Linked DNA regions of Saccharomyces cerevisiae S288C. The gene in region 1 interacts genetically with each later gene. Each region holds a gene or a part of one and is shown in the gene's direction. Other genes may lie near its edges.

What was found.
Region 2: mutations in YFL051C (region 1) and YIR042C together harm fitness more than expected from each alone (negative genetic interaction), as found in Saccharomyces cerevisiae (one large-scale study listed by BioGRID).
Region 3: mutations in YFL051C (region 1) and YHP1 together harm fitness more than expected from each alone (negative genetic interaction), as found in Saccharomyces cerevisiae (one large-scale study listed by BioGRID).
Region 4: mutations in YFL051C (region 1) and YNL035C together harm fitness more than expected from each alone (negative genetic interaction), as found in Saccharomyces cerevisiae (one large-scale study listed by BioGRID).

Annotation. Positions count from the first base shown.
Region 1 is NC_001138.5:27,343-35,365, reverse strand, and holds YFL051C (uncharacterized protein), read left to right. Parts: upstream 1-4,825; coding exon 4,826-5,308; downstream 5,309-8,023. Other genes in the region: putative Mg(2+) transporter ALR2, read left to right, coding at 1-2,094; ZNF1 (DNA-binding domain containing protein), read right to left, coding at 5,737-7,134.
Region 2 is NC_001141.2:432,065-439,449, reverse strand, and holds YIR042C (uncharacterized protein), read left to right. Parts: upstream 1-3,466; coding exon 3,467-4,177; downstream 4,178-7,385. Other genes in the region: seripauperin PAU15, read right to left, coding at 5,147-5,521; YPS6 (aspartyl protease), read left to right, coding at 7,339-7,385.
Region 3 is NC_001136.10:1,359,355-1,367,718, reverse strand, and holds YHP1 (Yhp1p), read left to right. Parts: upstream 1-5,537; coding exon 5,538-6,599; downstream 6,600-8,364. Other genes in the region: bifunctional K:H/Na:H antiporter NHX1, read right to left, coding at 1-234; GUK1 (guanylate kinase), read left to right, coding at 892-1,455; thioredoxin peroxidase TSA2, read left to right, coding at 2,057-2,647; PPN1 (endopolyphosphatase), read right to left, coding at 2,817-4,841; 40S ribosomal protein uS13 RPS18A, read right to left, coding at 6,921-7,314, 7,750-7,796.
Region 4 is NC_001146.8:566,200-574,929, reverse strand, and holds YNL035C (uncharacterized protein), read left to right. Parts: upstream 1-5,238; coding exon 5,239-6,408; downstream 6,409-8,730. Other genes in the region: putative tyrosine protein phosphatase SIW14, read right to left, coding at 1-424; YNL033W (uncharacterized protein), read right to left, coding at 1,077-1,931; YNL034W (uncharacterized protein), read right to left, coding at 2,615-4,453.

The DNA of each region.
Region 1 (8,023 bases):
TCAAGTAACAGATGCAACTTAGAAGCCTCCTCCTCGGCAAGAACTTTTACAAGCGCTCGTAAGGCTTCGCTAGTTAGCGCAATCTTTGAAACATCGGCTGAATCAGAGCATGGTACGCATCCCAAACAGGCGAAACTTAAGAGAAGAACCTATTCTACAATATCGACACATTCATCAGTCAATCCTACAACGTTGTTGACAAGAACTGCATCGCAAAAGTCCGATATGGGAAATGACACACGAAGAATTAAACCGTTACGTATGGATAGCAGGGTATCTTTCCATAGTGAGATATCGCAAGCATCCAGGGATTCTCAAGAAACAGAAGAAGACGTTTGTTTTCCAATGTTTCGACTATTACATACAAGAGTTAATGGTGTTGATTTTGATGAGTTGGAAGAATATGCCCAGATTTCAAATGCTGAAAGAAATCTGTCTTTGGCGAACCATCAAAGGCACAGTGAACGAACATACAATCATACCGACCAAGATACTGGATTTACTAACTCTGCTTCCACTTCAGGATCCTCAGCAGCTCTGAAATATACACCTGAAATTTCACGGACTCTTGAAAAAAATTGCAGCGTTAATGAGATGTACGTATCTGAAAACAATGAATCTGTGAGGGAAGATGATAAACCTGATCTACACCCTGACGTAACATTTGGTAGAAATAAGATTGAAGGTGAAAAAGAAGGAAATGATTCGAGTTATAGCCGGGCGTATTATACCCTCCAAAATACAGAATATCAAATTCCTAGTAGATTTTCGTTCTTCCGCTCTGAATCTGATGAAACTGTGCATGCTAGTGATATCCCTTCTTTGATATCCGAGGGACAGACGTTTTATGAGTTATTCAAGGGAGGCGATCCAACGTGGTGGTTGGATTGCAGTTGTCCAACTGATGATGAAATGCGTTGCATAGCAAAAACATTTGGAATCCATCCTTTGACCGCGGAAGATATCAGGATGCAAGAAACGCGTGAAAAGGTAGAGCTTTTCAAATCCTATTACTTTGTCTGTTTCCATACATTTGAAAATGATAAAGAATCGGAGAATTATCTTGAACCTATAAATGTTTACATCGTTGTTTTTAGGTCAGGTGTCTTGACTTTTCATTTTGACCCAATATCACACTGTGCCAATGTAAGAAGACGTGTAAGACAATTACGTGACTATGTCAGTGTCAATTCAGATTGGTTATGTTATGCTTTAATCGATGATATCACAGATAGTTTTGCTCCGGTTATTCAATCCATCGAGTATGAAGCTGATTCGATTGATGATTCAGTGTTTATGACCCGTGATATGGATTTTGCAGCCATGTTACAAAGGATTGGTGAAAGTAGGCGTAAGACAATGACGCTGATGAGACTCTTGAGCGGTAAAGCAGATGTTATCAAAATGTTCGCCAAAAGATGTCAAGATGAAACTAATGGTATTGGGCCAGTGCTTAAATCTCAAACTAACATGGTGAACTTACAAGCGGAACAAGAGAATGTGAACCAGAATAATAGTAATAACCAAATAAGCTTATCAAATAGCTATATGCAAACAACATCACAACCAAGGGGAGATATTGCTTTATACTTAGGTGATATTCAGGATCATTTGTTGACGATGTTTCAAAATTTATTGGCGTACGAAAAGATTTTTTCTAGATCACATGCAAACTACCTGGCCCAATTACAAGTGGAATCATTTAACTCTAATAATAAAGTTACAGAAATGTTGGGTAAAGTTACTATGTTAGGTACAATGTTAGTTCCATTAAATGTTATTACTGGTCTGTTCGGTATGAATGTAAAAGTTCCAGGAAGAAATGGAAGTATTGCGTGGTGGTATGGAATTTTGGGGGTACTGCTTTTACTAGCTGTCATAAGCTGGTTTTTAGCTAGCTATTGGATCAAAAAAATAGACCCACCTGCAACGCTCAACGAAGCCGCAGGTAGTGGGGCCAAATCAGTCATATCTAGTTTTTTACCGAAAAGAGATAAAAGATTTAACGATGATTCTAAAAATGGCAATGCGAGAGTTGGCGTTCGAAGGAAATCAACTGTCAGTCTACCCAGTAGATATAGCCGTTACAATTAACATGACCGCTATGGTAGGTCGGCAGATCTTTAGCAGGCAGAATAAAAGTCTGCCGAACAACAAGTTCCTGAATTTTGAAAATTTTTGGCACATTGGTTGACTGCTTTTAAAGCATTTTTTTGATATGAGGGCACAAAAATATGACGCTTCACTTAAAGTTTCTCATATTCTGACACACTTCAGTGATTTTTTAAATCACATTGCATATTTATACCGTAAAAGTTGTAGAGTTAGTTTTCTTTATGTAGGCCAATAAAATAAATTTGCTTGAGCTGCATTACTAGCAACATAATTGACCAATTTATACGTTTAGTTTTAACATCATCACAATGGTGTATAAAAAAAATTGGTACCGAACCATGATATAACAGACTTCTGATCAGAAGTACGAAGTAAAACCAGAGAACATTACCAAAAACTTTTATGATGTATCTATATTGTTAAATAAACGAAGCCTGACAGTGGAACTGCGCTTTTTTTATCTTCCTTACCATGACTACCATTTATGAGCGGAATAATCATATCATTTTTACGAAAGCACCGCCTAAACTCAAAAATGGAAATTAGTACAGGCGTATTAAACCAAGAAAATAGAAGCTGTCGCGATACTTATTTACAAAATAAATCTACGTGGCCACATACACATGAAAACCACAATAAACTTCTTGCGTTAGTAAATAACTATAATTTGTATGCCTGGTCAGATTTCTACAGACAGCAAAGACTCCAATAAGCGCTAAATAAAAAGTCAGCATTTTGAATAATCATAGACAAGAACTCTTTTGTCGGAACAATTTACGTATTATTTTTCGAAACATTTCTTTCCCAGATAACATTGAAAACAGAATTTTGAAAGAAATTGCCGAAACCGAAACAGGATAACAAGATTAAACGATGCTATAAACCCCACTGGTAGTATGCAGAATACCTCTTTTTACCCCTTTAAGAGACATGGCATACATATTCCACAATGTGCACTAAGGAGAGTCAACTGCTCACAAAAATGTTAGTCATTATAGAACACCTTGTGAAATTTCGATCGATATCAAAAACCCACACATTTTGTAGACTTTATATGGGGAGAAACTATCGCTCTATCCCGCCGCCTCCCTAAATTCCAATATCCAGACTTTTATGCTTTTCAAATCATGCCATCTAATACTAAAAAGCGCAGGCGTTGTGCGCTTGGTTTGTGTAAGTTAACCAAAAAAGTTAAAAGTATAAGTCTTCTGCATCAAACTAACAGAAAAAAAATTTTTTTTACACTTGAAATGGTTATTGTCTGCTTATTGTGAAGTACGAACATCCTAACAAACGTTGTATGTTGCTTTCTGCGTTTTTCCTTACAGTGCTAGCGTAGAGAATATGAAAAAGAGGGAAATTAAGCAACTGCTTTTTCTATGATTTACCACTGTGAGCCCAAAACTTAACGTGCACCAACACGTGTGCGGCAACCTGGCTGGCCTCTCAATGTAGAAGTAACTGGTTTTCTTCTTGCCCTTTATTTTCTTGTTTTTTAGAACCAATCTCGAGCACTTGGATAATGCAAAACAAATACAATCTATGTCTTCCACACCATCATTTTACTATGCCTGCCACCATACATTTGTCTTTTGCACCATATCTTCATAACCTGTCACCTTGAAACTAAAAAAATATTCACAATGGTGCATGCTTGAAGCACAAACTAGATTAATTTGTTGAGTAAATCATGTGGTTCCAAGGAACAAAAAAAAAAATGCATTACATCACGTTCCTTGCTCTGTATCTCTTCACCTGCAATTACTCAAAAGAAAAAAAGAAATATAATTTTCCTTTGAGCACCCTTGGTAACTTATCTAAGAACACGCGATGTAATCGAAATTTAATAACCTAAAAAAGAAATAGAGATCGGTGACGTTTGACGCTAGCCAATCTCCACGAGATTTATCTGGAAGGGCATCACCCGTCAAAACACTAAGAAATTTGACACCTTATTTTTTTTTCTCCGAAACGTTCTGAGACGTTTCTTTTTTTTTCAGGACGCCACCCTAAATCCGAAAAACCTTACTTGGCATTAGTGTTGTAAAAATTTCTTTTTTCCATCGTGGTTCTGAAAAGCTTGCAGAAAAAAAGTTCGAGAACGTTTTCGTATGACTTATTAAGCTGCCCTTGAACTTGCCTTCCCTCTTCTTTACTATTTTCAGCCAGGGACAGAAATAAAGCAAAATCGTTTAACTTTTATGACCGTAACAGGTAACAATATCTGCTCAATTCGGTTAGTAAAAAAAAAAAGGTTATCGTAGGTTTACTATTTTCACATCGGTGCATAGAATCTATACTCTACTTCCTTTGGAGGGAATTTAGTAGTGCTCGATTAGCAGATAACAGCGCAGGGTTCTATGTAGTACGAAGCACTATCAGGTTTTTTAACGTACGTGAGTTGTTTTTTGTTTCTAATTTTTGGCTTGCCTGGGATAAACGGTGCCCATCAAATTATTAAGACCTGGTGAAAAGAGCGTACCTACATGGGTATCGGGGTTTTTGCCAGAAAGAGCTTTAACTGCAATTGATGCCTACCGGAGATTATTTTGATATCAAAATGCAGGAACGATATCTACTTCCCTAAAGCAGAAAACAAAACATTTTTTTAAAAGTCTTTCTTATATAAAGGTAACCTTCATTTCATGATAGCCAGATGATAATCTTAATGTAACAATTGGAGGATACCAGCATCCCTCCACACCTTCAAATGTCTATACCCCATTCCGTATTTTCGGCACTCTTGGTCTTCGTGGCGCTAGCTACTACAACCTTAGCCAGTACAGAAGCTTGCTTACCAACAAACAAAAGGGAAGATGGTATGAATATTAATTTTTATGAGTACACAATAGGCGACCAAACCACATACTTGGAGCCTGAATATATGGGCTATGAATACTCCAATACAAAGAAGTTAGGTTCCGTTAGCGGACAGACCAATCTCTCCATATACTATAGTCCGCCTTGTGAGAGCACTCCTACCTGTGTGACTTATGCAGTTTTGAAGCGTGATGAGGATGGATATGATCCTTGCGGACCTCTTTATGAAACTAAAAAACGTGACACTGAATACTGTGACCCAAATACTGCCTATTGGAGTTCTGATCTTTTTGGTTTCTATACTACTCCAACTAATGTAACTGTGGAAATGACAGGGTACTTAATATGGAGTATGGGCAACCGACGCCGTTGAACCTCTCCTTGGAGATTCTGATAATTTTATGACCATGACTTCTCGTGCACCTTACAGGAAACTTTAATGGCCTGATAAGTACAGCTATATTGTGATCACAATTATTAAAAACTAACTCATTTCATCTATAACCAAGTACAAATCGCACGACTATCATGACGATAAAAGCGTATATCCTTGATTTAATTCACATCACAATCACCCCCCTTGAAAAAAAAATAAATTTTTTTTCTTGCTATAATAGCATAATTGTCCACAAGTTCACTATTAGTGCTATCATTCTTCCCCACTGCCGCAAAATTGCAAAGGAAATAATTGTTTGCCCTGCAGGAACCATATACTAAAGAAGAAATAGATGCTATTAGCCTCTTCAACTGTCCGTAATCACTACATCTTGAAAGGTAAAATGCAAGTAGCAATGTGTTTACTTAAGGAAGCGCATCTACATCTTCTTTAGAACCATCTGTCGATTCAAGCGGATTAGAAAGAGGAAGCGTGATAAGCGCACACTGACACTTTGTCGTAAACTTATCAACTAATGTGCTATCACAATGCTTAAGAGAGAAGACAAATTTGGATATATCGAACAAAAAATTCCAAGCCTCCGACTCTGCATTTTGATCGTACTGATTCACAACATCTACCAATGCGTCGGCTATTTCTAGTGCTTTCACTGATATCCCTGGACCGTGAACTGCATAAAGATTTTTTGGGATTAAAAATGTGTCTTCTAACATGTCTCTAGCAATTTCTACTGGAATATGCGTATTCTTGCTATTTGAAAGGAAACTGATTCGCATACCGCTTATTTGAAGCACTAGCTTCCAAGCAAGTGTTCTAATCCAATGCCGTGAAAAAGATATGTCTACATAGCCGTAAGACCATGGTTCTATCTCAAGTGGCACCGTATGAAGTTCCCTCCATATCTTTTTAAGGGAGTCTTCAGTACAGGTTACATTAGCAGAGTCGGTAGCTAGAGCATCAAAGAAGCATTTTCCCGGTACAGTAAATACCCTAATCATCTCCAAGAAGCTGTCGAGAGATAGTCGGGGGTCCGTTACGTTCTCCGGTTGTGGTGGAGCAATCGTGGTATCCAGGCTCGTGGCGCAATGCGTATACACAGAAAAGTATCTTTCCGTTAAGAGAAGCAAATAATAAACTTTCCTTCCAAGCTGCTGCTCATCGAAAGGAAGAAGTTTCAAAGTTTCCTCGCGATGGAACCCCGCCAACTTAATGAGCCCCACGGCTTCACAAGAAAGCCGATACGAAGTTCTTGAGTTGGACATCTGTGCGTAGCAGCGGTTTAGACAATAGTACGTCATAATCTTGAATATATCACTACCGTTAAAATCGTCAAATTCTTGGCGTGATGACATGCAGAAACTGGATAACTGTATCCCAGTAAAGGTAACCCCTCCTTCCGACTCAATTTCAGTCTGCAAATCGCTAAGCGTGGCGGCAGAAAGAGATACCAGGAACCAATACACACAGGTTTCGTCATATCTTTTCTCTAAAAGTTCGTAAAGATCATCATAACACAGCAAAGGCCAGATCACATACAACTTATCATTATAGAGCCGCAGACACTGATCAATTAGTGCCTTTGGAACCTTCATTATGCCACCACTACTACTTTTACTAAATACCTGTACATCATCTACTTTCTTTAAATTTCTCACCTTGACGGGTTTTGGACCTCTTTTCTTCAAAGGTCGAAGATATGTACATTGCAGATTGTGTTGAAGACAACATTTACATGGTTTTTTACGATCACACTTTACTCGACGAATGCAACAACAGTCGCACGCTTGTCTATTGCGGGCCATCTTCGAACTAGAGCTCTTTTACTTTAGCTCTTTTGACAAGACAATGAAGCATTTCTTGAAGGTTTTCTTCTTTTCTCCGTATTTAAGTCAACAAGATATAGCTAATTTATTAAGCCGGGGGTGGGGAAAAACGCGGTAGTAACGTGGGGTACTTTAAAGTGGGGGAGATGGCACAGACAAAGCCGCAGGTACCTCGAGAACTCAGGGGAAAAAGGAACGCAGTTCAATAAGCTACCGATTTGGCAGATCTCAGGAGTAAAAATATAAATCTTAGTGCACATACAAGTGATAACTGCAACTCCAGATTTTTCTTTCGGTCGATTCGTTGATGCAACAATGTCGAAATTATAGTTAGGCGTTTGTTCCTGTAATTTAACTTCAAGTGGAGGAGTCAATGTTCTTTCCTATGTTCTATTTGTGGGATAGAAAAGTTAAAAAGAAGGTTTTTGAGTATCCCAGTGATAGTGCAGTACTACTTCTGTGTATTCCCGATTATTACAACGGCGGAGTTTTTTTCGCATAAACTCAGACTACTAAGTAACTCTCGAGCATCGTGAAGATCCTGATACTTTATCTATGCATTACGTACGGAACGGAGTGAGGCCTTTCTCCAGAAAAATCGTTGAGATGGCATGTAGGTTCTAGATTTGTGACGACACTCAACAAGAAAAGTTTGAGGTGAATATCTTACCCGCGACATCTGGAGCGAGAAGAAAGCCGTAATCGATAACGTATTCTCTCAATGCTGTGGCGTTTCAGTAGTATTTTGTTATTACCGACGAAAACGGTTCCTCAAGAAATAAAATATATCTAGAGGTAAGTTGCAAAACGCTAGACTATTTATGGCAAGATTAGTATTTGCTGTCGTGATATCATAAGTAGAGACACA
Region 2 (7,385 bases), on another chromosome or scaffold:
GGGCATACGCACACGGATGCTACAGTATATACCACTCTCAAACTTACCCTACTCTCACATTCCACTCCACTCCATGGCCCATCTCTCACTAAATCAGTACAAATGCACTCACATCATTGTGCACGGTACTTGCCTCAGCGGTCTATACCCTGTGCCATTTACCCATAAAGCTCACGATTATCCACATTTTAATATCTATATCTCATTCAGCGGCTCCAAATATTGTATAACTGCTCTTAATGCATACATTATACCACTTTTACGCCATATACTAACCACTCAATTTTTATAAACTTATGTCAATATTACAGAAAAATTACCACTAAAATCACCTAAACATAAAAATATTTTACCTTTCAACTTTACGAAATAAACACTTTGACTTGAAGTATGAGCACTACCATGACGTCATTAATGTAAAAGTTCCTTAATATCGTCGTACCACTATGCTCTATTTAATATATTGTAATATAACTGCACTCTATAGTCATACAGATATTTTCACTTCGCCCTATCTTCCCATACTATTGTCATGGAATCTCACACTGACGCATGATTAAACGAACAATTTATACTATAAGGTCTGTCATTTGCGCTCTATCCTTTTGTTTGCAATATTTATATACAGAATCTCAAAACAAGCGGGAGAAGTGGTAATTACCCAGAGGTCATGCATGATCTGAGTACCACCATACCTCTAAGTTTTTGCTTTGATCCGTTTTACAGTGACAACAAACATAAGGAGAAGGCATTAAAATGGTATCGAAAGGTTATCAATATAGGGAAATAAATTGGTTCTATGAATCTTCATGTAAGATACTCGTAGGCCAGACTCTTTCCCGTGTAAATATTTGTGACAGCTACGTCTATTTTCTACTATATGTTTACACAGTTTTCTCACAGGCAATCTACGCTTAAATATGTGTTTCATTTCAGGCGGCAACTGCTGTGCGAGCAGTGACATTGCCGGTCGCACCTTAAAACGTAAGCCAAAGTTATGACACGCTCTCAAAGTACCCGCATTAAAGTTTTATAAAAGTATTATTACGACTATCGAGTAACTTAGATAGAAAACCGGAAATGAAATGGATGCCCTTTTCGAATAGCTGAGTTTCTTTGTCTAAAATAGCCCAACATTGTTGCCCTTTTTCTATCATGAGATTGCACGAACGCGCGCGCTTCGGCGGCTTTTTTTTCTGCTACATAAAAGCGAAAAGGAAGAAGTTATTACTTTGAATAAAAAAACCTCGAACTGCCATCTCACTACCAAATGAAAGAGAATGAAGTCAAAGATGAGAAAAGCGTAGATGTGTTATCCTTCAAACAGCTCGAATCCCAAAAGACTGTTTTACCCCAGGATGTTTTCCGAAACGAATTGACCTGGTTTTGTTATGAAATTTACAAGTCTTTAGCGTTTCGCATCTGGATGCTATTATGGCTACCACTTAGCATCTGATGGAAACTTTCCAACAATTGGGTTTACCAATTTATAGTTTCACTTCTTGTCCTGGTTTTGGGACCAATATTTCTCCTTGTTATTCGTGAACCTTCTCGTAAGCGCTCCTTATCGAAACAACTCACTCAGTTTTGCAAAGATATTACTAAAAACGCACCAAGTTTGGATACTCATAATTGGGAAATCGTTGCAGCAAATCTAAATTCGTACTTATATGAAAATAAGGCTTGGAATACTAGGTACTTTTTCTTCAATGCCATGGGCTGCCAAGAAGCGTTCAGAACAACCCTTCTCGAACCCTTCTCTTTGAAAAAAGACGAAGCTGCCAAGGTTAAGTCATTTAAGGATTCCGTCTCTTACATTGAAGAAGCATTGGGAGTTTATTTTACAGAAGTTGAAAAACAATGGAAGTTGTTTAATACTGAAAAATCATGGAGCCCTGTTGGCCTAGAAGATGCTAAACTTCCCAAAGAAGCTTACCGATTTAAGCTTACCTGGATTCTTAAAAGGATTTTCAAGCTGCGGTGTTTACAAGTCTTCCTTTATTATTTTTTAATTGTCTACACGTCTGGAAATGTTGACCTTATATCACGTTTCTTGTTTCCGGTAGTAATGTTTTTTATCATGACGAGAGATTTCCAAAATATGGGAATGATTGTTTTATCCGTTAAAATGGAACACAAGATGCAGTTCTTGTCAACTATTATAAATGAGCAAGAAAGCGGTGCGAATGGATGGGACGAAATTGCAAAGAAAATGAATAGGTATTTGTTTGAGAAAAAAGTCTGGAATAATGAAGAGTTTTTCTACGATGGACTTGACTGTGAATGGTTTTTTAGCTGCTTTTTCTATCGCCTTTTATCTTTAAAAAAAACTATGTGGTTTGCTTCGTTGAACGTTGAGCTATGGCCATACGTTAAAGAAGCACAATCCGTGGTAACAAGTCTTTAGTGAAAAAGTGAACATGTTTTTTTCAACCTAAAAGGTGGGTTAAGATTTTCATCGAGCAATTTTATGCACACAGCACGACATGGTTCAGAGTATAATATATTGGAAGAAAATGCACACGAGCATAATTCTCAAATTATATATAATTACTGAGTATTAATTACAACCGGACACGCTCCATAATTATTCTTTTAAGATTATTGTTTATTAAGGAGCACTTCTAGAAAATAAATGTTTGGAGCCATTAAAATGTAAACTAGCAGATAATTATAATTTATATTCCTTAAAGGCACAAATCTCCGTAATATGTGTATGTATTTATTACTTTTGAGTTTGCCTATTTAGCACAGAGCGGATCGAAAGTATTGGAATAGTAACACCGATATTATTTCTTGGAGGCTTCTCATGAGCCAGCATCATTTTAAAGTCAAGCAGTTGAAATGGAGTACATTTCCTCATATTTTCTATATATACACGAGTTCTTATTTAACTTGAATTGAGTGATTTGTTTTCATCATCTCTTGGCAATTTGTTTTTGAAATATTTTTTGAAAAGAAAGATGCAAATTTCGCGAATCACATTTTCTGTTGCATCGATAAGGTTATTGCTGATCATAAACACATTTATGTGAGATTTGTTTCAATAGCGCACGCACTTATACGCCACTCGCTGAATTTGTCTCCTTCTCAAAATTGGGATTATCATAAGGCATAAGTGTATATTAGAAAATTATGCAAACTCTGTACCTATATTTGCAGAGTCTATAAGAAGCTGTTTACTGGGCTTACAATAAAGCAGATCTCTTGTACTGTAATACGTCTTGGATCATCGCCAGTGTGAAAGTCAAAAAGTTCGTAGTTCTTTGTGCACGTGATATTTGCTCTGTTTATTGGTTCATAATGGAAGGTTGTTTTTTTTTTGAGCCATTCTTCAAAGGTTGATAGGAGGTTGATAAGAGGTTGATAAACAATCAACAATGATATAAAAATAGCATGGGAGGACGCCTTGCAAGAATTTTCCCGCCTCTGAACCTGGAAATAATGCCCTTCAGTAGAAACAATTATGGCGAATTTAAATATATTTGGGCAAGAAGTTGGTGCTGACGTCGAAGGTTGGACAACAAGGGCCTTCCCAGAGAAAGTTGTATTGAAAGGTAACACTTGCAGACTAGAACCTCTAGATAGAGAAAGACATGGTTCGGAACTTTTTAGTGCCTATAGTGAGGCAGGCCAAAAATTATGGACGTATTTACCTGCGGGACCATTCACTAACTTGGAGGAATATCTAGAATTCATTAAGGAACTCAATGAAACTAAAGATACTGTGCCTTTCGCAATTATTAATAAAGAGACTGAACGTGCCGTTGGTACATTGTGCTTAATAAGAATCGATGAAGCCAACGGTTCACTAGAAGTTGGATATGTTGTTTTTTCACCAGAATTACAGAAGACGATTATTGCAACTGAAGCTCAATTTCTGTTAATGAAGTATGTATTTGATGATCTTCAATACAGGAGATATGAGTGGAAGTGTGATAGTTTAAATGGGCCGTCAAGGAGGGCAGCGATGCGCTTAGGCTTTAAGTATGAAGGCACGTTTCGACAAGTGGTGGTATATAAGGGTCGCACTCGCGACACTCAATGGTTTTCAATAATCGATAAAGAATGGTTACGCATTCGTAAAACCTTTGAAGAATGGTTAGACAAAACAAATTTTGAAAATGGCAAACAAAAGAGAGGAATAGCAGCAATAAGAGAAAGCTTGTCAAACTGAAAACTCGCCCTCTCTTTCATGCAGGACATATGTATATATAGCATTTTTTGGTTACCATACTGTAGACTAGGATTTTTTTGCAGTCATGTGAATTTTCCGACTTCACCTTCAACAAAGAAAAATCGCATTTACAATGACTAAGACTTCACGCATTTGCGCTGATCTCCTTTAAGCTTGAATGACATTGAAATGTTACGTCGATACCGATAATATTTTGGGCTCTCGGTTTTGATTTAAACCAGGAAGCGTAGCTCTCACCTTACTAAGGCTCACATCATGTCATTTATAGTGTCATTTTGGCCCTAACTATATTCCACCTTTCTTCCATATAATAGTTTCAACCTTAACCTCAAAATGTATCATTTAATTTTTCTCATACTCTATCATATTTGTTATATAAACGTACAAAGATTGTAATGTTAACTATGCTAAAGTACAATTATTCACAGCATACTACACCGCGCTACGGTTCGTTACCAACCCTCACTAAACCCATAACGAAAGTGGGTTATCTTTACTATTTTAAACTATATTTTCCTTTTCTTTTCAGTATCCTCCTTACCGTACTAGCACATTTTTCTTATATGTCTTTTTATTTTCCCATCGTTGAATATATTCAAGTATCCGTTCTGGTTCTACAGTATTTAATATTCACGGGTCAAGACAAGAGCAACTCTACTGCTGTAACAGGTGAATAGCTTGAACGGATTCTGATCTACGAATCCTGTTGTAAAACTGGCCTATTCCGTACAGCTCACATAAAAAAACCCCTAGTTGTGAGAAAGATAAAAGAGCAACTATGCGTTCCCTATTATATTGACGCCCAGCCGGTAGTTCGTGAAAGCAAATGAATTTATAATATTAATATATGTTTATATGTAATCAGCTGTATTTATATTGAAAGCATTTTTTATTTCATTTTTTCGTTACTTTCAATGTCTATGGAATCTCATTCGTAAAGGCATGTCTCTATTTTGGAATAGCAGTGTAAATACCGTCCTTAGATAGAGCACTGGAGATAGCTGGTCTCAATCTGGTAGAGTACCATGGAACACCAGTGATAACTCTGGTGACTTGTTCAGCTGGAATACCAGTCAACATGGTGGTGAAGTCACCATAGTTGAAAACAGCTTCAGCAATTTCAACTGGGTAGGTCTCACTTGGATGAGCTGCTTGAAACAAGTAGTATTGGGCCAAATGAGCTCTGATATCGGAGACGTAAACACCCAATTCGACCAAGTTAACTCTTTCGTCAGATGGAGATAGAGTGGTAGTGGCTGGGGCAGCGGCAACACCAGCAGCGATGGCGGCGACACCAGCAGCGATTGAAGTTAATTTGACCATTATATTTGTTTTGTTTTTTAGTGCTGATATAAGCTTAACAGGAAAGAAAGGAATAAAAACATATTCTCAAAGACATACAGTTGAAGCAGCTCTATTTATACCCATGCCTTCATCAGTCATCACTACTTAAACGATTCGTTAACAGGTGCTCATTTAGCACCTCACATATCCTCCATATCTCATCTTTCACACAATCTCATTATCTCTATGGAGATGACCTTGTTTCTGAACGAATCATACATCTTTCATAGACTTCGTATGTGGAGTATTGTTTTATGGCACTCATGTGTATTCGTATGCGCAGAATGTGGGAATGCCAATTATAGGGTGCCGAGGTGCCTTATAAAACCCTTTTCTGTGCCTGTGACATTTCCTTTTTCGGTCAAAAAGAATATCCGAATTTTAGATTTGGACCCTCGTACAGAAGCTTATTGTCTAAGCCCATATTCAGTCTGCTCTAAACGGCTTCCATGCAAGAAATATTTCTATCTCTTGAATTCGTACAACATTAAACGTGTGTTGGGAGTCGTATACTGTTAGGGTCTGCAAATATGTAAACTCTCGGCGAAGGCCTTGGTGCAATTACGTAATTGTAGCCGCTGAGAGGCGGATGGTATTGAGAGAAGTTGATATTCAAAGAATTGATTATGATAAAAAAAAAAAATTGTAACCAATCCGTAAATACTGAAACTCTTTGCAGTAAGAAATCTTTCATCCCCAGAGAGAACGCGGAAATATTCAGCCTAAGTCTCTCCAAATTGATTTCTTTCATTTTGGTAGCGAAAGACTTAGTATCAACCTCAAAAAGTTGAAATTTTTGTAGATATATGTGCGGATGACATGAAGTATCCAGCTCCTTTGTGAATATGGAAGCAAGTTTCTTTCAAATTATTATCGACTTTTCCTCTGCCCCTTTTACCTTATAACTTTAGGAAACACTACCCTATCCATACTCAACTAAAAAAGTAGTACGTTTTCTTCTTTGAGAGGTATGGTGCAAACCAGTGCAATCTGATTCCAGATTGCCCTCACGTGAGGCTTCAGTAAATCTCGATCCCTCTACATATTACATTATCTCCTACTTGGCAAAATAGATGTGGCTTTAGTTGATGAAAATTTACCACGTCAACTATTTATGTCCTTTCTACAATAAACCCCGACCTACTATCCTCTATGTTGTTTTTAACATACCATACGAGCGTCATATGTCTTTTGGTTCACTGGGGAAGACCATCACTGTTGAACGTTTGTTGAAAAGTTCGAGATGATGAAGATTGCATAACAAAATGTAAAGTTATTTTTAGAAACTATAACGGTTCAAGACATTCAACACTATAACATAGCTTGGCTGGCTTGAACATAAAGAGGAAGAAGCAAAAGCAAGAGTAAAAAGCTTCTCATTTATTTCTGGCATTGTTGATCACCCAGTGCAAGCCCAATTTCGCCTGTGCTTTTCTTAAATTGTTTCTGACAACACCGAGGTTTTCGCTGCAGAAAAGGAACATATGGTGGTAATTTGTATAAGGGGTTAAGGGTCCAAAAATTTGCTACCCTGTCGCTCACTACAGCAAAATATCTCGAGATATCCGAGGAGTTAAAACTGACTAGACCTGTTGCGTAAACCTCATGCAAGCAGTACTCTTCGAGGATTTAAGCTTTGGAACTGCTTTCAAAGTTGAGAGTATATAAGGTGTTATGATCTTGGAATAGGGTTTTTCATCGTTCTTCCTTGTTCTCTTTTTTCATTGGTTGATCAGTTGTTAAATTTTGTCTCTTTCGAAAATAAGGATATTTGAAGACAACGCAAAGCTATCAATATGCAATTGATTTCCATCCTCTCTTTGTTGTCATCATTGATGTGTTC
Region 3 (8,364 bases), on another chromosome or scaffold:
ACTAGACCACAATGCAGAGATCAATAGGAGCAACATAATGAACAATGCCCATGAAGAGAACATTTCTTCTGTAACAGGGTTTAAGTCTACATCAGGATCACCTGCAATAGGGTCATCGCTACCCGGGAGATCCGGGGAAGGTAGAAGTTCATCATCATCGTCAGGATCAACTGCTCTCTTGGCGGTGGTTAACAGCACCTTGAAAGCTATATTCAGCAATACCTTGGATAGCATTTTTCATATGGTATGTACTGACAGCGATAAAAGATTATCCTCTGAATTTCACTGCTTGCAATCTATGTTTAATCTACAACTATTTGTCAATCTTGGGTGCCCTTTATCTTAGAGTAGCTAGAAAAGCAACGGAAACAGAAAAAGTCACACCGTGAATAATGATTGTTCGATATCAACTTTTGCAGTTCCTTGCTATCACGTTTGTGCAAGGTATATCATCTGTCATAATCCTTTGGCAAGACTACTGCTCTGCTACTCCTTGTGTGTGCTCACGGCAGGCTACAATGCAAAATTCATCCTAAACTCTGCTCTATAAGCATTAATAAGGTGAAATTTTCACAGCCTTTACATAAAAAACGACAGTAAGTGTATAAATGTGATTGTCAAAACTGCGACGATTCGAAATGATAGCTATTTGAAGTGTAGGTTATATCGACAGGAAGTTTCGGTTCTCGAAATATGTGATGCGTCTTTCCGGCGGCGTCGATGCTAATAGCAACCGTACTCATCGGTACATTCCAAATTTCGAAAAAAAGCTTGGAAACACATAAAAAAGAAAAAAAAAAATACATTTAGCATAAATGGATACACAATGGCGTTTCTTTTTAGTTGATAACTACAGTTTACTTCGGATAAAGATTAGTAAACCTTTGCGTTATGTCCCGTCCTATCGTAATTTCTGGCCCAAGTGGTACAGGTAAATCTACACTGTTGAAGAAATTGTTCGCTGAATACCCAGATTCTTTCGGGTTTAGTGTTTCATCCACTACTAGAACCCCAAGAGCTGGCGAAGTAAACGGTAAGGACTATAACTTTGTCTCCGTAGATGAATTCAAATCTATGATTAAGAACAATGAATTCATTGAATGGGCGCAATTCTCCGGTAACTACTATGGTAGTACTGTCGCTTCCGTCAAACAAGTCAGTAAATCTGGTAAGACTTGTATTTTAGATATTGATATGCAGGGTGTCAAATCTGTCAAGGCTATCCCAGAGTTAAATGCCAGGTTTTTGTTTATTGCTCCACCATCGGTCGAGGATTTGAAAAAAAGATTAGAAGGTAGAGGTACGGAGACCGAAGAATCCATCAACAAGAGGTTAAGCGCCGCTCAAGCTGAATTGGCATATGCTGAGACAGGTGCCCATGACAAAGTTATTGTCAATGATGATTTGGACAAGGCCTACAAGGAATTGAAGGATTTTATCTTTGCAGAAAAATGATGTAGCCCTATATAGACATTACTAAGTATGTACCTGGTAGGAGAGTGCTGTCGCAAAGCGACAAAACGTCCAATTATTCAATTAATATAGTGTAAAAGTTCTCAACGGGCTTATGCTAGTTTTTTTTGTTAGTAAGCGCTACGACGACTAGAACCATCTCTTGAATTTCCAAGTGCCAAAATCAATGACCACGGATACTGTGGCCAGGAATCTGTTGGTTGGTCATCCTCAAGATCTAGACAATATCATATTGGGCCAGTATCTGATTATCTTAACTATATGCGCCCCTCTAGTTTACAAGTTTTAGTCATTGGGGGTTGGAAGGGCTGATCCCCCCTTACAATTGGCGTCGTTTAGGAGCGGGCGAGGCTCTCCTTTCTCTTACACATCTGCTAAGGTGTTTGTTACCCGAGTAATCAAGGATCAACTATGGATGAGATTTAGATTAACGTATTTAGAGCAGACGATTGTAAGAATATATTTTGTAATTTCGATTGTTTTTTGCTACTTACATTGTTTATCTTGAAATATCCAAAGTGAACACTATTACTGTTTTTTGCTCAAGAATATATTAGCCTTACAAGAACGTAAAAAACCAATCATGGTAGCAGAAGTTCAAAAACAAGCCCCACCATTTAAGAAAACCGCCGTAGTCGACGGTATCTTCGAGGAAATTTCACTGGAAAAGTATAAAGGTAAGTACGTTGTTCTAGCTTTTGTCCCATTGGCTTTTTCATTTGTCTGTCCAACTGAGATTGTTGCGTTTTCCGATGCCGCCAAGAAATTCGAAGATCAGGGCGCCCAAGTTTTATTTGCCTCCACCGACTCTGAATATTCCTTACTGGCATGGACCAACCTTCCCAGAAAAGACGGTGGATTAGGTCCAGTTAAAGTTCCTTTGCTTGCTGATAAGAATCATTCCTTATCCAGAGACTATGGCGTTTTGATTGAAAAAGAAGGTATAGCTTTAAGAGGTTTGTTCATAATCGACCCGAAGGGAATCATTAGACATATCACTATCAATGATTTATCTGTTGGCAGAAACGTCAATGAAGCTTTGAGATTAGTCGAAGGTTTCCAGTGGACTGACAAAAATGGTACAGTTTTGCCATGCAACTGGACCCCAGGAGCCGCCACCATCAAACCTGACGTTAAAGATTCCAAGGAGTATTTCAAAAATGCCAATAATTAATCTTCGCACGATAACGCTAGGCCCTATTAAATAATTAAAAATACATCACCCTATATATGATAAGAAAGATGGTTTTGTATTATTATGAAATTGACTTGAAAGAATAGTGTAACAAAAGAAAAAGAAACTGTAATTGAAGAATGATATGCATTTCTATGTGTATATTAACTTAATCATCTTTATATCCAGAAGACGCAAATGACCATTCGACGTATTTTTCCCATGCAGGTTTGTTTTCGTATAATCTGCCTGCAAGATCCAAATAACTTCCTACTGTTAACGAATCCATTGAGTATGGTTTCTCGTCTGAGGTATATTCTATCTCATACCTGAAAATATCCTTAGATTCAACAAATGAATTATGTAATTCTTGATTGATTTTTTCCAAGTCGGCGTAGAATTGGACGAAACGCGTCGGAGTGAATAACTGCGGTACATATGCAGGGCCGAGTTCGTATTTGTCTGGCATCTCAATTGGCATAGTCTTGTCATTTTTCTTTTTCTTCTTGTTTTTCTTTTCGCCCATCTTCTCGCGGTTGATCCCAACCTCGATATTACTGCTGTCCATTTCATCTTCTAGCAAAGAGTCTTCCATAATCTTATTTAGTGACTCGAAAAATTCATCCCAGGGCTTATACTCCGAAACTGCAAAATTGGAGTCATTCACTATGTCGGTGATGTTATATTCCCAGATCCTAAAGGAAGGATTGAAAGTTGGAATGACTGAACCACCTATGTTCACAATGGAATAGCGTTCAATGAGCTCTTTTCTAGTGATTGGCTTTTTCTTTTTTTTGTCCTTCTTTTCTTTCTTTTTCTTCTCATTTTCAACATTTTTTTCATCCACTCTTTCCAGCTTATTCCACACTTTCCGATAGTATGTGTCGCGGACGGTGTTCATATATGCTTCTTTGTTAGATGGTTTCGCTCCCATTAAAAAAACTTCTTTTGCCGCCATAGCGTGATCCAGAATTCTATTCAATTCAGTTTCTTCGTCCTCTTCATTACTGTCTTCTCCTTGTTGAACACGAGTGGATTGCTCCATGGCTTTCAATAACGATTTTCTAGCTTTTTTACCATCCGTTGGGATGAAGTGGTCAATATTCATGTGACCGTATAATCCTCCAATGATTATATCCCTGTATTCGTGAGTCCATAGCGTGAACTTATCGTAGCACGACTGATCGAAATTTTTTGCGATTGGAGGTACATGTCCACTTAACCATACTTTCATTCCCCTACTCCTTAGTTCTTCTAATACATAACCGAACCAAAGTAAAAGTTGGTAACCTGGTTCTTTTTTTGAATTACAATTGTCAACTAACGGATTGGCCTTGAATAAGTACAGCGTGTTAATTGACAGGACAGCAAGCTTCCCTGGAATAACTTCAGTCAAAAATGAAGCACTCCTATCAAAAGTTCTTTGCTGCTGCTGCGGAACAAAATTTTTCCAAATCCTATAATATTCTCTAGTTTGTAGAGTTGGTCCTAGTGCAAACATGTTATGTGGAAAGACATCATTGTTTCCAAGACTTGGAATGACAGACACATCAAAATCTCTTGGATCTTCTTCATTGCCAGCACTAAATAATTCTGTCATTTTATCAGCAACGATATTGTTCATATCAAAAATTTGTGCTTCTGTTCTTGGATGTTTCCGGTCATTGTCATGTCTGATATTATCACCCGTCCAAATGACAAAATCAATCTTATCTCTAAGATTTTCTTTAATCCATCTCAGAGTTTCTTCCATTAAAATAACGGGAGAATCACATCCAGACATTGCCTTCCCAAACTTGGGTGCCACATCCTTTTTTTTGCTTGGTTTTCCTGTGTGACAAACTGCATCAATAGAGCTTCCTTCCACATAATAAGGGTCAGGATGAATATCGGTAATATGAAGGAACCGTCCATGTAATTTTCTCTCCTTCCCTGTCTTTACGTCTTTGATAATTACTGGCTCCCTAGGTGTCAGTCCTAGCCTTGTAAATTCTATGTCATTGAGCAATTGAAGTGACTCGTTGTCCCCCCTGTCATCTAAGAATTTGGAGAAAACGGAAACATATTGAAATTTAGCACCAATTATAAACACGAGGAAAAACAAAACACAGGTCGACAGGATGGCAATCAATGATTTCTTCTTCGGCCTACTCATGCTTACATTGCGCACTTCACTCTTACCCACTACAACCATCGAAAAGCAGCTAACTAGCTCTACCCCTACTCAATGAAAACAATAGCTGGAGACAAGGAGATCAAAAAAACTTTATAATTCTCCAACCCAACAACCAAAAAAAATATTGATCTGTTGATTTTAGCCTTCTTCTGACTTGTATTCTACCATAAAACCCTTTACACTCTCAAATGAATCTTGGTAATTAAAAGTGCAATATAACTTTAAAGGTGCTAAATTCTAATAACGACATATGTCCTCAATAGTCGGGTAATGGTCATATTTGTCCTCTACCGTACGAAGGGAGCATATTATGCATCCTGCTCGAAACGCTCAGAGAAGGGCCGCACAGGTGGGCAGATCACATTTCCTCTTTCGGCTATAAACCACGTCCTAATTTGGACATGACGCGCGCCAAAAACCCGGAATGGTAAACATCAGACGCGCTTTCCGTGCAGGGATACGTCGGTATTTTTAATATCAATGCTGAATTGGGTTAATAGCATGAGACATTTCAGCCAGATTTTTCGTTTACTCATTGTTTATTTGTTTGATCTGGATCACACAGATGAATGTTTATAAATATATATATGGCGTCCTCCCGATCTTGCCAACGTAGATTATAATTCGTATTATCTTCTTCTTTACCCTCGCCAGCCAGTGTAACTAGCATTTGTAGGGAAATAACAATAACACAAAATATCGTATATATATAACATGGAAAGCAGAAATACCGTGCTTCCTTCTTTACCAAACATTATTACAGGTACTTCTAATTCGCCTTTCCAACTGCATACTTTGCCAAATACAAACTTCCCTAGTGATGACCAAGGTGACATCAGGTTGCCACCATTAGCTGCATCTGCGCACATTGTGAGACCAGTGGTAAATATTTATAAAAGTCCTTGCGATGAGGAAAGGCCAAAAAGGAAAAGTCCACAGGCTGTGGATTTCTTATCACAACGTGTAACCACTTCCATGACGCCTTTATCCAAGCCCAAGAAGCTGAGCTCTCATTCACCATTCACGCCAACGGTCAGAGTCTGTTCTAAAGAGCAGCCACCTCAGAGTATGCACTCTTATAAAAAAGTTAATATTCTTACTCCTCTATCTGCTGCAAAGGCTGTTCTCACACCAACCACAAGAAAAGAAAAGAAAAGGTCATTTGCCTTTATTACACACTCACAGGAAACTTTTCCAAAGAAGGAGCCTAAGATAGACAATGCTCGGTTAGCTCGTCGGAAAAGAAGAAGAACTTCATCATATGAGCTTGGGATATTGCAAACAGCATTTGACGAATGTCCCACGCCCAATAAGGCTAAAAGGATAGAGTTATCCGAGCAATGTAATATGTCCGAAAAATCGGTTCAAATATGGTTTCAGAACAAAAGGCAGGCTGCTAAAAAGCACAAGAACAGTGGCAACACCAGCCATTGCAAAGTTCACTCTAATGATTCGATGTCTATGATATCTTACTCAGACGCTGCGTTGGAAATTACCTCTACGCCAACGAGTACGAAGGAGGCTATTACTGCAGAGTTGCTGAAAACTTCACCTGCCAATACGTCCTCGATCTTCGAAGACCACCACATAACGCCTTGCAAGCCCGGCGGACAGCTCAAGTTCCACAGGAAATCTGTGCTTGTTAAGAGAACATTATCAAATACCGGTCATAGCGAGATTATCAAAAGTCCTAAAGGCAAGGAAAACCGCCTAAAGTTCAATGCATACGAAAGAAAACCCCTTGGGGAGGTCGATCTCAATTCTTTCAAAAACTAATCTTTCTCAGTGTTTATTTTCTTGAGCACTGATGCTATCAATATTAACAAAAACTACACAAAGTAATGACTGAGACTACACCAACGTTTTTTTTTAGATTTAAAGCGGCCTGTTTCATAAATCTATATAGAGATGTAATATTATATTCTTTCAAGGGTCCATTTATCCCTGAAACCCTGTACAAAAAAAAGGCAAGTTGAAATTATGGTCACAAAATTAATTTTCTTTTCTTTATTTATTTTAAAAAAAAGTCAATTAGGAAGTGCTATGGAAATATATGTACTCGTACAAAAAAGATTAAGCTTGAATAATCTTATCAGTTTAAGCTCTTCTTCTACCAGTGGTCTTGGTGTGTTGACCTCTAACACGCAAACCCCAGAAGTGTCTGATACCACGATGAGCTCTGATTTTCTTTAATCTTTCCAAGTCATCTCTCAATTTGGATTCGACGTTGTTAGCCAAAGTGTGGTAGTCCTTACCATCAGTGATGTCATTTTGACGGTTCAAGAACCAAGCTGGGATTTTGTAGTGAGTTGGGTTTTGCATAATTTGAACAATTCTTTCCAATTCTTCTTGGGTCAATTCACCAGCTCTCTTGTGTAAATCAACATCAGCCTTCTTACAGACCAAGTTGGAGTAACGACGACCAACACCCTTGATAGTGGTCAAAGCGTAAACGATCTTAATGTTACCGTCAACGTTAGTGTTCAACAAACTGCGTAAAAAAATTTAGACGGGAAACCGAACTTATTGATAAACGTTAGTAAAAAATGTGCATAATGGATTTCACGGCCAAGACAAAAATCGGAGCAGGATATAAAATTTTAGTGTTGGTTGGTCAATATCCGCCAATAGCTGATTCATTGTAAAGCATTCCCGGTACTTTACCTCCGACCGCTATTGCAATGTTCCGTAATTATGTGCGCTTATGCCAAATTCATGTTCCTTTTTGATGCATAAACCATAAATTTGTTCATCAGCCTTATTATTACGTTCTTAGTCCAGCCCGGGAACATCATTATTATATTTAATCACGTCGTTAGCGAATAATCGCCACGATTAAAGAGGTGAATGAATTTCCTTTCTTGTCTGTCATATTTTTAAGTTTTTAGCCGATTTTGTCATAGCTCACTAGTAATAATAAACATACCGTAAAATGTGTTGGAAGGAACCTTGTTCTTGGACAACTAAAGACATCTTTTATCCGCTCTTGTGTATACGTTCACTAGTATCTCAACGTTTAAAAACTCTACTAATAACATGTAGAGCTATCTTCAATTAACCCTAGCTTTGACAATACTTAGTGGTCGAATGACAGATGTGTCCGACCTGGCTGGGGCGACATTTGCTCTCCCGGGCATGATCTTGGGATGGGCATATGGGACTGGGAAAGGCATCTTTCGGAATCGCAGTTCCCCTGAGCGCGCGTCTCCGCAAGGAAACACCATATGCCGCTTCAAATTTCTAAAAGCAGCATGTAGAATATTTTCAGATAGCATGCATGGGTGCGTAATGTACGGATGTTTAATGTCTTTTTAATCATTGAAATTAAATGTACTTTTTTGTTGCCAGACACGAAACTGTACGCCAGTAAGTGATGTGGATGCTATTTTAAAAAAGTTTTGGATATAATGGCCTGCTGTTCCTAAAATATACTAGAATTAATAATATCGTTCTCAATTTATGCTCATGGGCCGTTTAAAAAAAATACTTTGTAAAAGTTAATTTAAGGTATTGACTGCACAAGTGACAAATTATAACCACA
Region 4 (8,730 bases), on another chromosome or scaffold:
ACGAAAAGTTCTCTTGTCGTGGGAAACTGCTACGGTATATCTCCCCAACGACGTGGCTAAAGTTTTCGGGAGGAATCACCTCTTTATTAATGACGTGATTTAGTGTGTTCATTACTTCTATAGTCTTTTGATGGTGCTCATTAGAATCATATCCGTCATCCTCGTCTTCATCAAACTCCTTCCGAGGAATATCTGACTTTTCTTCCCCGTGAAATCGCTTTAGTACTTCGTTAAATTCTACACTGAGGAGCTTGTCTTCTTGAATTATGTTATGGATATCTCTACCATCGCCATTGTCTATCAGTAACTTGCCATCTTCCTTGATTAGTCGTATGATTTCTGCCTCATTTTCTATCAAATCGTCAATCTTGCTGCTGCTTTTCGGATCACTTCCCTCATCATTCTTTGCTTGATATAAACCCATCTCCTTTTAAACTTTAGATGAAAAAGAAAAATTGATCCAGAAGAGAGTAGATAAAAAGCCGAACTGTAGCAAATTCAAAAATTAGAAAGTATTATTTAGTTACTGTCTTCAATTGAATCTTCTTTCCCAGTATCATTATTAAGTATTTCCTTCTCTTGTCTCTCAAGTTAACTCACGCAAAATTATTTTTATTTCCATTCCTTGAATTAAAGCCCAGCTTTTTTTCCATCTGGCGGGAATTGTCTGCTATTTTTTACCCGCGTCATCAAAAATATTGATAGCATAGTCTAATAATCAAACGCTTACAGATCAATAAATACTCATCCCGTAGCGCAGCGTACGTACTGTGCGTTCCAAATCTTGCAATTGCAAGAAGGATGTAAGCGCTTTTTTTAGACATTAATTTTTCCCTTATGTAGCTGGCAAAGTCGATATGTACTATAAAAAGCCATTGCAGTAGTATCATTCCCGGCTGCTTCCAAGTTGGCGAGCCGCAAGACTCAATGCCGCTGTATATTTTTACTGGGAAACAGGTTTGAGTGTTCACAGATTGAAATTTTTATTAATACCTATTAAAGTGAAATACTGACAGATACTATGTACATGTAGGGGTAAGTTGGTGTATGGTGTGTACAGCCAGGAGCAGCTCCATCTATAGCAAGCTTGAAGAGTACATATGGACGCTTAGTAACGTCTGGTTAGGCCGGTCTCTCGATAAAACCGCGAACCCGTTTCTTTCCCCCTGCCAGTCCTCTCTGTTAAGAGTTGAAGCCAGTTTAGTGATGCCGCCCAGTACTTCTATCGTATAATCTCCAAAAAGTGTGTATAGTTCGCTTACAGAGGGCATTTTCGATGAAATATCCGCGAACCCCAAGGCGCTCACTGATCCAGCATCTAAAATCGAAATACTCCCATGGTTGTGGTGGGATAGCGAGTCCAGAGTGTACTGGTCAAAGCATATCTCTGTAAACAAATCGTGGAATGGCACTATCGAGTTTTCTCCGACGGTCATGAGTAGACATTTCTGCCGGTTGCTTCCTTCGAACGGGTACACTAGTTTCTGAGTGATATCCATTTTAGTAAAAGCTTTCCCGACACCCTTTCCGAAGATTCTGCCGACCATTTCCCCAAATCCCAGTCCTACCATTTTTTCCATATCAGCATCGCTATTCAGCTTATTTTCCTGCAGATACTTCAGAAGATAGCCCCAAGCGGTGAGTAGTAGGACAATAAAGTTCAGCGCACAAGAAGTTATTTTCAAAGGACCCTTCCACTTAAATGGTGCGCAGTTGAAAAGAAACTGCATGGTTTGAATTATGTTAGTAGCAGTATTCAAAGCGGTTTCCGCTTTGTTTTGTGGTTGCGGTGCGGCAGTCACAGTTGTGATTTCGGTGATTGTTGACGTAGTAAATACAGTTGTTACATCGACCGAGTGACAAAGTACGGTTAGGGAGGTAACCAACGCAAGGAAAAGGACGGTTGTCCTTGATTCTCTGGAGTAAAGCATGATCTCGCGCACGCTCTTGCTATTGACAGCCTCGTTGTATCAACTTGTGTTTAGGAAAGGAGGCAGAATAAAGATTAAAAATGGAAGAAAAGACTCAATGGTTCCAGCGAAACAAAGATGCTTGAAAAAAAAAATAATTCAGAAACGAGTCTCTTGTCAGGAAAGCAGTGTCAGGAAAACAGTGTCTGTTCTATAGTTTGTGTTGTGTCCCTCAAGCACTTTTGTTGTTAAAAAACCTTGCTAAAGTTTTGTACAGGTTTATACCGTTGTGCAAAAACTGCTGCTAGGATAACTGAACAGTTGTTTCTGTGGCAGATGTCGTGAATAGGCGCCTTTATTTTAAGGGTCCAGTGATTCGCGATGTGAATAAATACGCGCGCCGCTCTCGAAGGAACCTTTTGAGGCTGCTTCTGTCGATAAGAAGGCTTGGCAAAGGCCTTTGCTTTACTGCTTCTTTCCCGCCTTTTTGGTGCATTGGGTTAATTGATGAATATGCGTAAAATTTAAATCAGACTATGAAAACATATATAACAACTATTACAAGAGGGAAGTGGTAGTCTACTTGAAGAGGCGCGCCAGAAGAAAACGGTGGTAAGTACGAAGTTATGTGTAGACTAACTTGCTCGTTAAAAGTATTTCGTCAGCCGTGCCAAACAGTTCGAACTATCGGAACTTCTGACGGTTCACTGATGTACAAAAGTTGAGAGCCATTTTCGTAACCGGCTTTTTGTCCCATGCTCAGAAGGATGCATTGGTACGGTCACTTCGATATTCCTTCTCTGTGAGTGGAGCCAGAGCTTTTTGTTAGTTTCTAGTTCTGTTGCTGTGCGAGACTCACGAACAAGTAGTAGCCGGCATGGTTTAGATGGTTCTGGCACGGTAAGCTGAGGAGCGCTATTATGGTTGCGGGTAGTACAGTCATTAGAAGGTGGAATAGATTCCTTGCATATGTCTATCAGTGCCTGAAACGCCCTCTCAATGAGGGAGGTGCCAGGACTCAAAATTAAGGATTGTTCGGCGGGATGCGGTAAGCCTTCGTATACTAGGTTGTTGGACGGAAAAATCTGATACGGCTTGATCTGAATGTTAGGATCGACCTTACTGTCTAAAGTATCGAGAGTGATGTTTCCTTTTCGGTTTAAAGACTTCTTCTCGCCGACATCGAGAGAAAAATGAATGTGATCAAGAACCAGATCTATTTCTCTTTGTGTGTTTTTCCAGGGACAAAAAATGGAGTAGGGCTCAATCCTCTGGAAACCTTCGTATTTGTATTGGTATGAATAAAAACGGCACTCTGCTTCCTCCATAAGTTGGTCGTAGCTGGGCATTGTATCGAAGTTGAAGGGTCTCTTCCAGAATGGAATACTTTTATTTGAGGGATTGTAGTACCTTCTGGGCTCAGATTGTTCGTCTAAAAGCAGGTATTGAACAGCTATCATCTTGCGCTCAAATTTAAATTCGAGGGAATCGTAGTCAATGTTCTTTGTACTTCTCAGAAAGAGTGGACAGTATTTTCCCATTTTGCTTTCAAACCAGTTCTGTGGCCTGTCAAGGTACTGTTGCATGTATGAAGGAACTACAGTAGTCAACGTGTGGTTAGACTGGGAAAATTCCGCTGCGGACCCGACGCTGCAGCTTATATTTTGATTGCGGGGAGCAGGAGCGCAGGCATCTTGTTTAGATTTTTGGCTTGGATAATGTTTGTGGTGATCAGTGGAATTTATTGGGCAGTAAATTTCAGTTGGAATGATAGATTCATTCGTCTCTTTTGTTCTGGAGTCCTTGGTGCGGCGGAAATCAAAGCAAGTCACTTCTGCGTTAAGCGATGCGAAATTGCCGTCTGGAAATGACGATATGTGGGGAGAATGAGGAGGATTCCATGACGAATAAACTGATGAGGATGTGCTAACAGATGAGGTTAGTGAGGGTACCGATTCGTTGTTTTCTGACGCAGAGTCTGTTGTGGGAGATGTGGTAGCGTTATTTCTTTGCACAAGAGAAGGTGGGAGCATAGCACGGTTGTGGGAGGAGGAAGAAAGCATTACGTTGCAACTATCATTTACGGAGTGGGATAAGAGGTAGGAGGTTGTCATAGCGGTGCTTTCTTCCTGGTGCATGGCAGAAGACGTTGGCAGTAATTCGTTTATTATGGTGACATTGTCGTGATTAGAAAGGACTGTCTCTTTTACCATTGCCTCGGGTATGTTTTTTGACGCTTGCCCTGAACTTACTCCAGAGCAAGCCTCAGTAGAAGAATGACCGGAATGATTCCTCTTATACACGTTCCAGAGCGGAGCATTCTTGACATCATAAAAAAAGTTGCTGACAGGATCTTTGGACTGGTTGACGTTAAGTGGTTCCGTAGCTGGTCTGATGTTTTCTTGTACGGTATCACTGACGGCTGAGAAACCTTCAGAGGAACCGCTTTCGGGAACAGACTTGGAGGATTGCAAATTAAGCCATTGAAAGTCTAGCCCAACCTTGTTGCAAAAGGCCTTGAACTCCTGGAAAGATGTAGACATTATGTGGGCGAAAAACAAAATTAGACCAACGCTTTAGCAAATTTTTTCAACCTCAAATTGATATTTGAAGATTAGATCGGATGGTTTTTTTTCCTGTGGTGTAGGCCAAGCTTAAACAAGGTTTTAAGTGAAAGTGGAAATAATTGTGATAAACATGCGGAAAGAGTGCCAGCCTTAAATAATTCCGCATTGTTGCTATGTCGTTTTGTTTTTGTTTTTGTTTTCGTCTTATTGGTATTTGTTCATTTTACGACCACAAAGGATCCAGGGCTTCTACTTGCACAGGGAGGGTTGCTTGGTTAATACAATACAAACGTCAGAGATATTAAGATTTGTAAAGGGTGCATTCAATGAGTTTTTCCTCAATGTGCCCTAGAAAGGAAGTAGTACGAACATTTCTCAGTCGGAGTTTGCCGGAAATTCGAATGACAGTGTAAGTTGAGTTTTGTGGCACAGGGATAATGAGCGGTGGTGCTGGCACACAGTAGTGACGTTGGTTTGGTAGTGTGGAGGGACGGTGGAAAACAGATAACAGTGGTCTCTTGGCCCAGTTGGTTAAGGCACCGTGCTAATAACGCGGGGATCAGCGGTTCGATCCCGCTAGAGACCATTCTTTTTTTTTGCATTGGCAATGTGATTTATAAAAGTTTTCTTAGTCCAGATTGTAAAAATGTTAGATGGGACTACAGTGCACGTACGCAGTCATTAGGACATAGGCACTGGCTCGTCTTACTGTGTAAATAAAAACTACTTAAGTTCGAGAATCTCAAATTAACTTCTAGAGCATGGCTAGTTATTCTTTAGTTGAATCGAATTCTTTCGGGTCAGAAAATTGGTGTCTTAAGTTACAGCCTAGTTATAAACATGGTCTTTTAACTGGATTAAGTAATGGCGAAATACGTTTGCTAGACTGGAGTACTGGTAAATCAGTACAAAAGATTAAGGCGAGCGAAACTGCAATCAATGATATGAAGGTCATCGGTAGCGACTTCTCTGCTGGTCATCTAGTTAGTAGCGCCTCTATCGACGCGGTGAAAGTTTTCGATATAAGGACGAATGACCGCATTGCTCAAATTCAAAACGAGGCCAACTCCCCCTTTATTTCCTTAGATTCTCGTCATGGTCTATTGGCCTGTGGTACCGAATTGCAGGGAATTGACGCTGCTGTATACATATATGATATTCGCAAATGGGACACTCCATTGAGATCATTAATTGACTCTCACCATGATGACGTTACCTGTATTAAATTTCATCCTTCTGACGTCAATATTTTGCTCAGTGGTTCAACTGATGGTTACACGAACATTTATGACTTGAAACAAGATGAGGAGGAGGACGCTTTACACCAAGTTATTAATTATGCGTCAATACATTCCTGTGGATGGTTGTCCCCAAAGAGGATATTTACACTATCACATATGGAAACATTTGCAATTCACGAATTGAACGACAAATCTGACGAATTGAAAGAGCCACAACCCTTGGACTTTGGTGATGTAAGAGAAATATGGAACTGTGACTACGTGGTAGATATTTACCCTGGACTCATTGCAACCGGTAAAACCCAAGAAAATTGTGGAGAGTTGTGCCTCCTACCATTTAAAGATGAGAAGGTGGATACTGAAAACGGTATTGTTATCCCACACGCCCATGGAGACGAGGTCGTCAGAGATATTTTTATACCAGCACAACATAGCAACATGTTATACTCCTGTGGTGAAGATGGTTGCGTTAAAATTTGGGAAAACAAACAGGGGCCGTTAGATATTCCAGAAAATTTTTGGGATTACTCTAAAAAAATGAACGTCTTAGGAGATGACGACAGAGAAGGTTCCATTAATTTAGACGAACCTCTTATTATTCAAAAAGAATCGGTTTCCACGAGGCCAAGGAAGGAGAAACACAAGAAAGCCAAGAAACATTCCATGAAAAGTCGTTTCAAACCATACTAGTTTCATAAAGACAATACATCTAAAGAGATGCCTAACATCTGCAAGAGATTTCGGCAGAACTACTCTATAACTTAAAAAACGAAGCATACATTCCAAACAAGTTGATACTTCTAGATCATAGTTTATCTTCATAGGGCTTCTTTTGTTGGTACAATGTTATAACAACTATATTTCTGCTATATAGAGTATTAATGCATTTTTTTTTTTTATCTCCAGCATTAAACGTGCACGCTTCTATAAGGTGGAAAAAAAATACTAGAAAAGGAATAAGTGAAACACCACGTTGATGGTGAAAAAATATAAAGGGGCGAGCTGGGAATTGAACCCAGGGCCTCTCGCATGCTTTGTCTTCCTGTTTAGGCAGGAAGTCGCCCAAAGCGAGAATCATACCACTAGACCACACGCCCGATTATTTTATGGTGATTTCTGTCTCACAGGAAATTGTTATCAAAGGATAAATAGCATATTTGTCTTAAAGAAGGTTTTATAAATAGACATGCAGAATGTACTTATCAGTGGTATTGGAATGTGTTGGAATAAAAATCAACTATCATCTACTAACTAGTATTTACGTTACTAGTATATTATCATATACGGTGTTAGAAGATGACGCAAATGATGAGAAATAGTCATCTAAATTAGTGGAAGCTGAAACGCAAGGATTGATAATGTAATAGGATCAATGAATATTAACATATAAAATGATGATAATAATATTTATAGAATTGTATAGAATTGCAGATTCCCTTTTATGGATTCCTAAATCCTCGAGGAGAACTTCTAGTATATCTACATACCTAATATTATTGCCTTATAAAAAATGGAATCCCAACAATTACATCAAAATCCACATTTTTCTTCATGGTAGCGCCTATGCTTCGGTTACTTCTAAGGAAGTCCCATCAAATCAAGATCCGTTAGCCGTTTCAGCTTCCAATTTACCGGAATTTGATAGAGATTCCACTAAGGTTAATTCTCAACAAGAGACAACACCTGGGACATCAGCTGTTCCAGAGAACCATCATCATGTCTCTCCTCAACCTGCTTCAGTACCACCTCCACAGAATGGACAGTACCAACAGCACGGCATGATGACCCCAAACAAAGCTATGGCCTCTAACTGGGCACATTACCAACAACCATCTATGATGACGTGTTCACATTATCAAACGTCACCTGCGTATTATCAACCGGACCCACACTATCCGTTGCCACGGTATATCCCACCACTGAGTACTTCCTCACCTGATCCAATCGATTTAAAAAATCAACACTCTGAAATACCTCAAGCTAAGACAAAGGTGGGAAATAACGTCTTACCACCACACACTTTAACATCAGAAGAAAACTTTTCTACATGGGTTAAATTTTACATCAGATTTTTGAAGAACTCTAATCTCGGTGACATCATTCCAAATGACCAGGGTGAAATCAAAAGACAAATGACTTATGAAGAACATGCGTATATATACAATACCTTCCAAGCATTTGCCCCATTTCATTTATTGCCAACATGGGTAAAACAAATTTTAGAAATTAATTATGCTGACATCCTTACAGTCCTTTGTAAAAGTGTGTCCAAAATGCAAACTAACAATCAAGAATTAAAGGATTGGATAGCTCTTGCCAACCTTGAGTACGACGGAAGTACATCTGCTGATACATTTGAAATTACAGTCAGTACGATCATTCAGAGGCTAAAAGAAAACAATATCAATGTTAGCGACAGATTGGCCTGTCAACTAATACTTAAAGGTCTATCCGGTGACTTCAAATACCTACGTAATCAATATCGTACCAAAACGAACATGAAACTTTCCCAATTATTCGCTGAAATTCAGTTAATATATGACGAAAATAAAATCATGAATCTAAATAAACCGTCCCAATACAAACAACACAGCGAATACAAAAATGTTTCTCGCACATCTCCAAACACGACTAACACAAAGGTTACAACTCGTAATTATCAGAGAACAAATAGTTCAAAACCAAGAGCAGCAAAAGCTCACAATATTGCTACATCTAGTAAATTCTCAAGGGTGAACAATGATCACATTAATGAATCAACCGTTTCATCACAATACTTAAGCGATGACAACGAACTTAGTCTTAGGCCAGCAACAGAAAGAATCTAAGCCAACACACACAGTAGACTCGAATGACGAACTACCTGATCACCTTCTTATTGATTCAGGAGCTTCGCAAACGCTTGTCAGATCAGCCCATTATTTACACCATGCAACACCCAATTCTGAAATAAACATAGTCGATGCTCAAAAACAAGACATTCCTATAAATGCCATTGGTAATCTTCACTTC